Linked DNA regions of Mus musculus. The protein of the gene in region 2 interacts with the protein of the main gene of each other region in a biochemical or structural test. Links are inferred from orthologs where the notes say so. Each region holds a gene or a part of one and is shown on either strand. Other genes may lie near its edges.

Region 1 (3,650 bases), on a different chromosome or scaffold from region 2:
CCTGCGGGGGAGCCTAAGCATGAGGCCCAGGGGCTTGTTAAAGGTGTCCCTATACTGTTCCTCTGAGGGAAGGGACAGTCTCTGCCCTGAGCTCTGTCTAGACAGCAGTGGCTTCTGAGGCTGGTGCTATGTTTCTGTTATGTTATTTACACCTCACCCTAAACAGGAGAGGGCAGGACTATGACTCTTGACTAACAAGCAGGTAAACTGAGGCTTCTAAAAGCTGTCTAAGGCCCCAGAGCTTGGGAGTCATGGTACAGAAACTTTCATGGTCCTGATGAGCCCTCAAGGCCTGGTGCTCTTCTCAGAAGGCCAGGACAAGTCCTCCGCTGCTGAAAATGAAGTCATCGGAAAGGGTGAGAGGAGCAGATGGCTCTGACAGAGGAGCTGTGGCTGACACAAGCCTTTGATCTCAGCCTTTACTGAGCTATCTCAGCTAATCTTCGTCTACAGTGTGGAGCCTACAGAGAAATCATGTGCACACCGGTTTGCTCTCTCACTCCAAGAGATGCAGAAGATGTAAAAGATAAGATGATGGCAGGAAGCTGCTACCAGGCTTCAGCCCCCTTCCTACAAGCATGGCTCAGTGTTTAGTTTCTTTTTTAAATTTATTTTCATGATTTTTTTAAAGTGTGTGTGTGTGTGTGTGTGTGTGTATGGGTGTTTGTGTGTGTGTGTGTGTGTGTGTGTGTGATGTATAACTACCCACAGATATCAGATCTCCTGGAGCTGGAGTTACAGGTAGTTGTGAGCCACTGTGGGTACTGGGAACTGAAGCCCGTGTCCTCTGTAAGATGTGTACATGGTCCTCACCAGTTAGCCATTTCTCCAGTCCCTCCATGGTTCCTTAAGAAGATAGCAGAAGCCAGTTCTTTCCTATTTCAGATGGAGAACAAAACAAGCCCAGGACTGGGGTTGTGGCTCAGTTGGTAGTGCTTGCTTATCCTATACAAAGCTTTGGGTCCAATCTCCAGCACTCTAGAGTTAGAGGCAGGAGGTTCAAAAGTTCAAGGCCATCCTTGGCTACATATGGAATTCAAGGCGAGCCTGGGCTACATAAGATGATGCCTCAGACCAACCAACCAACCAACCAACCAACCAACCACAACCAACCACAACCATCAACCCCAAATCCAACTAACAGTCAGTAGGATTTCCTTTAAGGAGCTTTGTACCTAGCTGGAGCTGCTGCTGCTGCCAGGGCACACAGCCTAGGGCCCGTAGTGAGGGCTGAAAGCCTAGTCTAGAATACATCTTCCGACCATACATTCAAGTGTAGCTTCACATCTATGAGTGGGTTATCCTGAGTCCTCTCATGTCCTGTGTCCTGGTCTGTGATGAAAAACTTGGCCTCTCAGGACTCCATATGGATTCAGAGAAACAGGGTAGACGAGGTTTTGTGACAAGGAACTTACCTTAGCTCTGACGTCTGATGGGTCCTCCTGGATTCAGGCAGTAGGCATGGCCCAGCCTACTCACCCAGTGGTTAGCTTGGAGGTGCTCACCACACAGTGGCACTAAATTATGGCAGAACCACTGATCGTTCATGGCTCTGCTTGCTTCTCCCTCTCCAGGTGCAGACATCAACACGCAGGCCAGTGACAGTGCATCAGCCCTCTACGAGGCCAGCAAGAATGAGCATGAAGACGTGGTAGAGTTTCTTCTCTCTCAGGGCGCCGATGCTAACAAAGCCAACAAGGACGGCCTGCTCCCCCTGCATGTTGCCTCCAAGAAGGGCAACTATAGGTCAGTCCATAGCCCTTACTGTGTATAGCACAGCTCTCCGGGGATGCCTAAGGAGGGCAGGGGCGGGGCAGGGCACTTGATCTCCATGGCCCCTGAGAGGACTCTTTCTTTGTTTGCTTGTTTGGTTTGGTTTGTTTTTCGGTGGGGTGGGAGGATGCAGAGATAACCTGCAGGTCAGCTAGCTGTTTGCTGAGGATGCTCACAGCAACGGACAGGGACCAGTCACCGGGTACCTCCCTAAACATCATGCTCGGGTGGGAGAAGCTCAACTTCTCCAGAAGCAGTCTGTGGGAGGGAAATCTCTCCCCCCACAAACACAGAGATGAACAGTCCACACGCATTCATGATGTGATGAAAGATCATCCAGACCTAAGCTCCATGCTGGCCCCCGTAGAAGGGACCTGGCAAGGGCTGGAGCAGAGCGCACTGGAGGCTGCCTGTCTGGGCTCATGTGTCCACTGCAGCCCCGCCCCCCAGGAACATGTTCACTCACATGTAGCACAACACTGACCATGGTGGGAGCTTGTACACCATGGAGTGAGCTTTTCTCTGGCACCTCCAACACCCCACTCATCTGAGAGCCAATTGCTAGGAATTTAGCACCTATACACTGTGGGTGGGAAAGGGTGATTGGGTGGGGTGGTCAGGGGGATGCTGGTTGTCCTTGCAGATGGACACTGGTCATTTCTAAAGTGTGGACTCACTGCCGAGCTGTGGGACAGCCCCTTTTATAGAAGAAGAAACTGACCAGGTAGCTAAGAGCCTCGTGCCTCAGTGGGACCATCCCCATGCCTAGGATATCCTCTACTGGTAGGGCAGTTCCCAGTCACAGACCCTGGCAAGCTTTCTTTTGATTTTAGACAACTTTCACTAGTTTTAAAATATCCTTTTCCTTAAAATCGTTTTCAAAGGAAACATTCACCACAGTGGTATAGTGAGACAGTAATTCACAGTTACTAGAAAAGCCATGCCGTGTGCCCTGGGTGCCACACTGGGGGGTGCTCTAACTTCTCAGACTCTCAGAAGAAAGAGAACAGATTATGTTTGGCACTGTCAGTGAGGCAGGGGATGGATAGGGGAAGAGAAATAGCCACTGAAAATGAACCAAAGGCCCCAAAGGTTCCTACACTGTCCCCCAGAGCCCCAGACCTTCCTGTACATGCATACAACTGCTTTCCTGAGGGTTTCCCAGCGAAGGGTTAAAGTTGGATTCCCAGCAGCCCCTGCCACCTGGCTGGGCCACTGTTCTCTGCTCACACCCTGGGCATGTGGCATCAGAGGCCCTCCCCATGCTGGCCTCCCACAGGCTGAGAAGGGATTTGATGTGACATTCCATAGGCATTCAGCCACCTGCCAAAACACCCTGCCTACCCCTGGCCCGGAGCAAAACGCCTGGAGCCTGAGGCCATTTGCCAGATGTGCCTGCTCTTCAGCACACTGGGTGGGGTGTGTTGGGGCATGGCTGATAGAGGAACCTAGCATCCCCATTCCTTAGGCACATTTACTGTCATCCATTTCCAGTGTCTTATAGCAGAGCAGGTAGATTTCCAAAGACCCTGTGAGCAGGAAAAGAATTTGGCCAAGGACCCTTGAAGGCAGGGGCTCCTGACCTTGGCTGTACAGCCCGGATTCAGGCCCCACCTTAGATAATGGCACTGGGCTGGCCTGGGGCGGGGTGCCAGGATTTCCACATGGGGCTTGAATGAGTTCCAGGAACTTAGCACCTCTCTATTGGCCAAGGGTCAGGCCACCATGACCTGTTGACTAAGGTCTCCTCTAGCTTGGTGCAGCAGGACAGGGCCTGCTGTCAATGCTTAGGACGCAGACTTCTAACTGCCTTCTAACAGCCTACTGTGTGCCGATCCAACAAAAGTGGGAGGTGTTAGCCTCAAAACCAGGCTTGG
Region 2 (3,650 bases):
GCTTGGGGCGGCGTGTGGGAGTGGGGGCCGCCCCCTTGAGTGACTCACCTGACCTTTCTCCTTGCTCTCTGCCCTCTCACCTCAGTGTCAATCGGAGGTCACGGGCTAGGTAAGCTGCTTGCTGGGGCCACTCCCAATGCCCCTACTGCCCAGAGAGGCAGTTTCCTTTCCTCTTCATTGCTAATTCATTCCCAGGACAGTTCCAGCTGCAGCTCTAGGCAAGGACAGAGTTGGGGAGGCTGTGAAGACAAGGCCGTGGGCTGGAGGGTCAGGGCCCAGGGAGGTTTCTGGAGCTAAGCATGAGCGCTCTGGTTCTCCCCTCTCTGGGCCTCCATTTCCCCATCTGAGAACTTGGGTTGCAGCTGAGAGCTTTGGGGTGAAGTATATCCTAGGAGGCACCTCAATGGGGATTTTGGGGTCTGGGGATCTTGGCACCCCAGGGAAGCACCTGGGGATGGGCAGCAGGTGCTTCCTTCTCACAAGGGCTCCTGTATGGGCTCCTGCATGGGCTCAGGGGACAAGGTGGTTTCCTCCACCCACTGGGAGTCTAGCCCTTGTCAGATCCACAGACTTCCATCCCCGCCTCCCAGGGGCCTCTGTGTCCTGGGCTGGGGGAGGTGCATGAGTGGGTGGGGCTGGGTGGTGGTACAGTAGTGCCAGTGTCAACTGCTTGGGTGGCCAGCATGGCAGGGCCTGGCCCAGCCTCAGAGCTCCAAAGTGCATTCTGCGACCAATCTTTTTTCCTTCTTTCTTCCCATTCCCCCAGCAATGATGTTAGACAGTCCCTATCAGGCAGGTTTGTCTGCCCTAAGACAAAGACATCCTAGGAATACTGATATGAGACTACAACTACTTGCAGACTTCTGAAGGCTATCAGACAGGCATTTGGGTAGATGGCCAAGGACAGGATTTAAGATAGCTAGGTTTTTGTGGCAAAGGCTAGATTATTTTGTAGAATAGTTTATGGGGTTGAAGATGGCATATATGTGTACACAGGGGAGGACAGAATTAGGCCAGGAACTTGGAGTGGCCTCAATTTTCTTGGCCATTATGTGTGGAATGGAGTCAGGGCGCCCAGCCAGGGAACTTAAATCATCTTTGGGTAAGCCAGAAGGTTGTCTTGGGCCCGGTCAGTGGCTATTGGGACATTAAGCAGTAGCCCAATTAGCAGGTGTACTTTGAGGATGCTATGGTCAAGACTTGCTGATCACCTGGAGCTTGGGTACAGAAATGAGAAATCAAGAAGCTTTCAGAAGGCCCAAATCATTAGCTAGATGATACAGGGCAGGCATAAAGGAAGTTCATGGCAGCATGGGCAGCAGGCAACTAGGGTAATAGCTGAAGTTGCTATCTGAGTCTCATGTAGCCAGTGTGAGACCAAGGTCGAAAAGGGGGCTTGGTGGCAGGCTGGCAAGGGGGCCCCTTAAACTTGGTCCTCATATAAGTTTGGTGTTCCTAGCTGCTTTCCTTGTGGGAGGCTGGGCTGCAGGGGTGCTCTGGCTGCCAGGCCTTACAATCCACAGCTCCCAAGCCTCCACAGCTGAGCCCCAGATCATAACATTACTGTCCTTTCTCTTTTCTTGGGCACTATGGGGCCCTAGAGGCTGCTCAGATGCTCTACCCTTGCAACCCTGCAGTGGTGGCTTGGGACTCCTGTCTCCTGTTCCTTGGGTGCTGCCACTGCTTTGCCAAGCCTGCTGTGATGCACTGCTAACCCTTCTACTTCCCTGCTGCTTGCTCTTGCCTGTGCCAGGCTGTGCTATGCTGCCTCTCATTGCAAGCCTCTGGTTGAGCAAGCGTTCTCAGTTGTCAGGAGACTCCAGTTTCACCTTCAGGCCTCGGGGTTGGGTAGGGAGGAAAGTTTCACATCCCCCACACTGCAGCAGGACTCTGCCTCACTTCATCCACACATAGCACTGGGGCCCAGGGCCAGACCACGGGTGTAGGTAGCCATGGGCCTGGCCAGAGTGCCGGTATAAGTTAGCATAGGCCATGATACCAGCTGAGGCTGAGTTGGCAGAGGAGGTAGCAGTAAATGCTTGTGCTGGGATTGGATGGTCCCTTACTTGTCTTCCCAGGTATCTGGGTACCACTTGTTGGTCTTCTCTCATAAAGGGGCTTGAGGTGGTCAGGAGAATCCTTCCTGCCTTCTGAGAAACCACTCACCATCGTAGCTTGGGGTATGGGTTGGGCTAGAGATTGGGGCTGGCTGTGCTTGGTTGTAGCAGTAAGAGGCCTGGATGGGTAGCAAGCTGATGGGGGTAGCCAAAATGTTCGGCTCACCTGCTGGCTCCCCTCTGGGGATTCACTCTGCTTTACCAGGTGCTGGCATTGGCCCCACCATCCAGATTGGGGAGGAGACGGTGATTACTGTGGACACAAAAGCAGCAGGCAAAGGCAAAGTGACTTGTACTGTGTGCACACCTGATGGCTCAGAGGTAGACGTGGACGTGGTGGAGAATGAGGATGGCACCTTTGACATCTTCTACACAGCTCCCCAACCGGGCAAATATGTCATCTGTGTGCGCTTCGGTGGCGAGCATGTGCCCAACAGCCCCTTCCAAGTTACAGTGAGAAGAGGCCAAGGATGGGTGGGCAGGGAGATCTGGGAAAGTCCTAGCCTGTCCTTCCAGGTCCCTTTGTGACAACAGTCTCCAACCCTCTCACTTTGCCCCACAGGCTTTGGCTGGGGACCAACCAACAGTGCAGACCCCATTAAGGTCTCAGCAGCTGGCTCCACAGTATAACTATCCTCAGGGTAGCCAGCAAACCTGGGTAAGGCCTGGGCCTGGTCTATTATTCAATTTGTCTAACCCATAGGGACACTTGAAGCTGGCCACCTGGATGTCTCATGTGGCCCTGAGAAACCCCATATCTTCTCATAGCCCCTCACCTGATTCTTCTGTCTCTATTGCAGATTCCAGAGAGGCCCATGGTGGGCGTTAATGGGCTGGATGTGACCAGCCTGAGGCCCTTTGATCTTGTCATCCCCTTCACTATCAAGAAGGGGGAGATCACTGGTGAGTGAGGGCTAGGAAGAAACTTGGAAACTAGTGATGGCCAGGGTGTTCCAATCTCCTGGCCTGACATTGAAACCACTGCTCTGTAGGGGAAGTTCGAATGCCCTCAGGCAAGGTGGCCCAGCCTTCCATTACTGATAACAAAGATGGCACTGTTACTGTACGTTACTCACCCAGTGAAGCTGGCCTGCATGAAATGGACATTCGCTATGACAATATGCATATCCCAGGTGGGTGTATTGCCTCTTGTCCACTCCATCCTAGGCCCGTGTTGCTATCATCTCAGGAAGAACAGGCTAGGGCTGGGTTATAGGTCAGTTAGTAGAGCCTAGCATGCATCAGGCTCTGAATAAACTAGGTATCATGGCACATGCCTGTAATCATAGCCCTCGAGGCAGGAGGATCAGTGGTTCAAGGTCATCCTTAGCTTCATAGTAAGTTCAAAGCCAGCCAGAGAAACATAAAGACCCTGTTTCAAAAACAGAACCAAAATGACTAACAAATGAATGAGTCTGGTATTCCATGTGGCTTCTATTCTGGTCTCAGGAAGCCCTCTGCAGTTCTATGTTGATTATGTCAACTGTGGCCACATCACTGCTTATGGTCCTGGCCTTACCCATGGAGTGGTCA

Evidence for each region.
Region 1: the proteins of Flna (region 2) and Asb2 form a complex in vitro, tested with the Homo sapiens proteins (3 studies listed by BioGRID, with this or other methods). The link is inferred for Mus musculus from reciprocal best matches to the Homo sapiens genes FLNA and ASB2.

The regions. Positions count from the first base shown.
Region 1 is NC_000078.6:103,328,441-103,332,090, reverse strand, and holds part of Asb2 (ankyrin repeat and SOCS box protein 2), read left to right. Parts: intron 1-1,574; coding exon 1,575-1,746; intron 1,747-3,650. UniProt on the Homo sapiens protein: Substrate-recognition component of a SCF-like ECS (Elongin-Cullin-SOCS-box protein) E3 ubiquitin-protein ligase complex which mediates the ubiquitination and subsequent proteasomal degradation of target proteins.
Region 2 is NC_000086.7:74,229,426-74,233,075, reverse strand, and holds part of Flna (filamin-A), read left to right. Parts: intron 1-85; coding exon of another isoform or gene 86-109; intron 110-2,322; coding exon 2,323-2,570; intron 2,571-2,679; coding exon 2,680-2,775; intron 2,776-2,917; coding exon 2,918-3,020; intron 3,021-3,109; coding exon 3,110-3,250; intron 3,251-3,566; coding exon 3,567-3,650. UniProt on the Homo sapiens protein: Promotes orthogonal branching of actin filaments and links actin filaments to membrane glycoproteins. Anchors various transmembrane proteins to the actin cytoskeleton and serves as a scaffold for a wide range of cytoplasmic signaling proteins.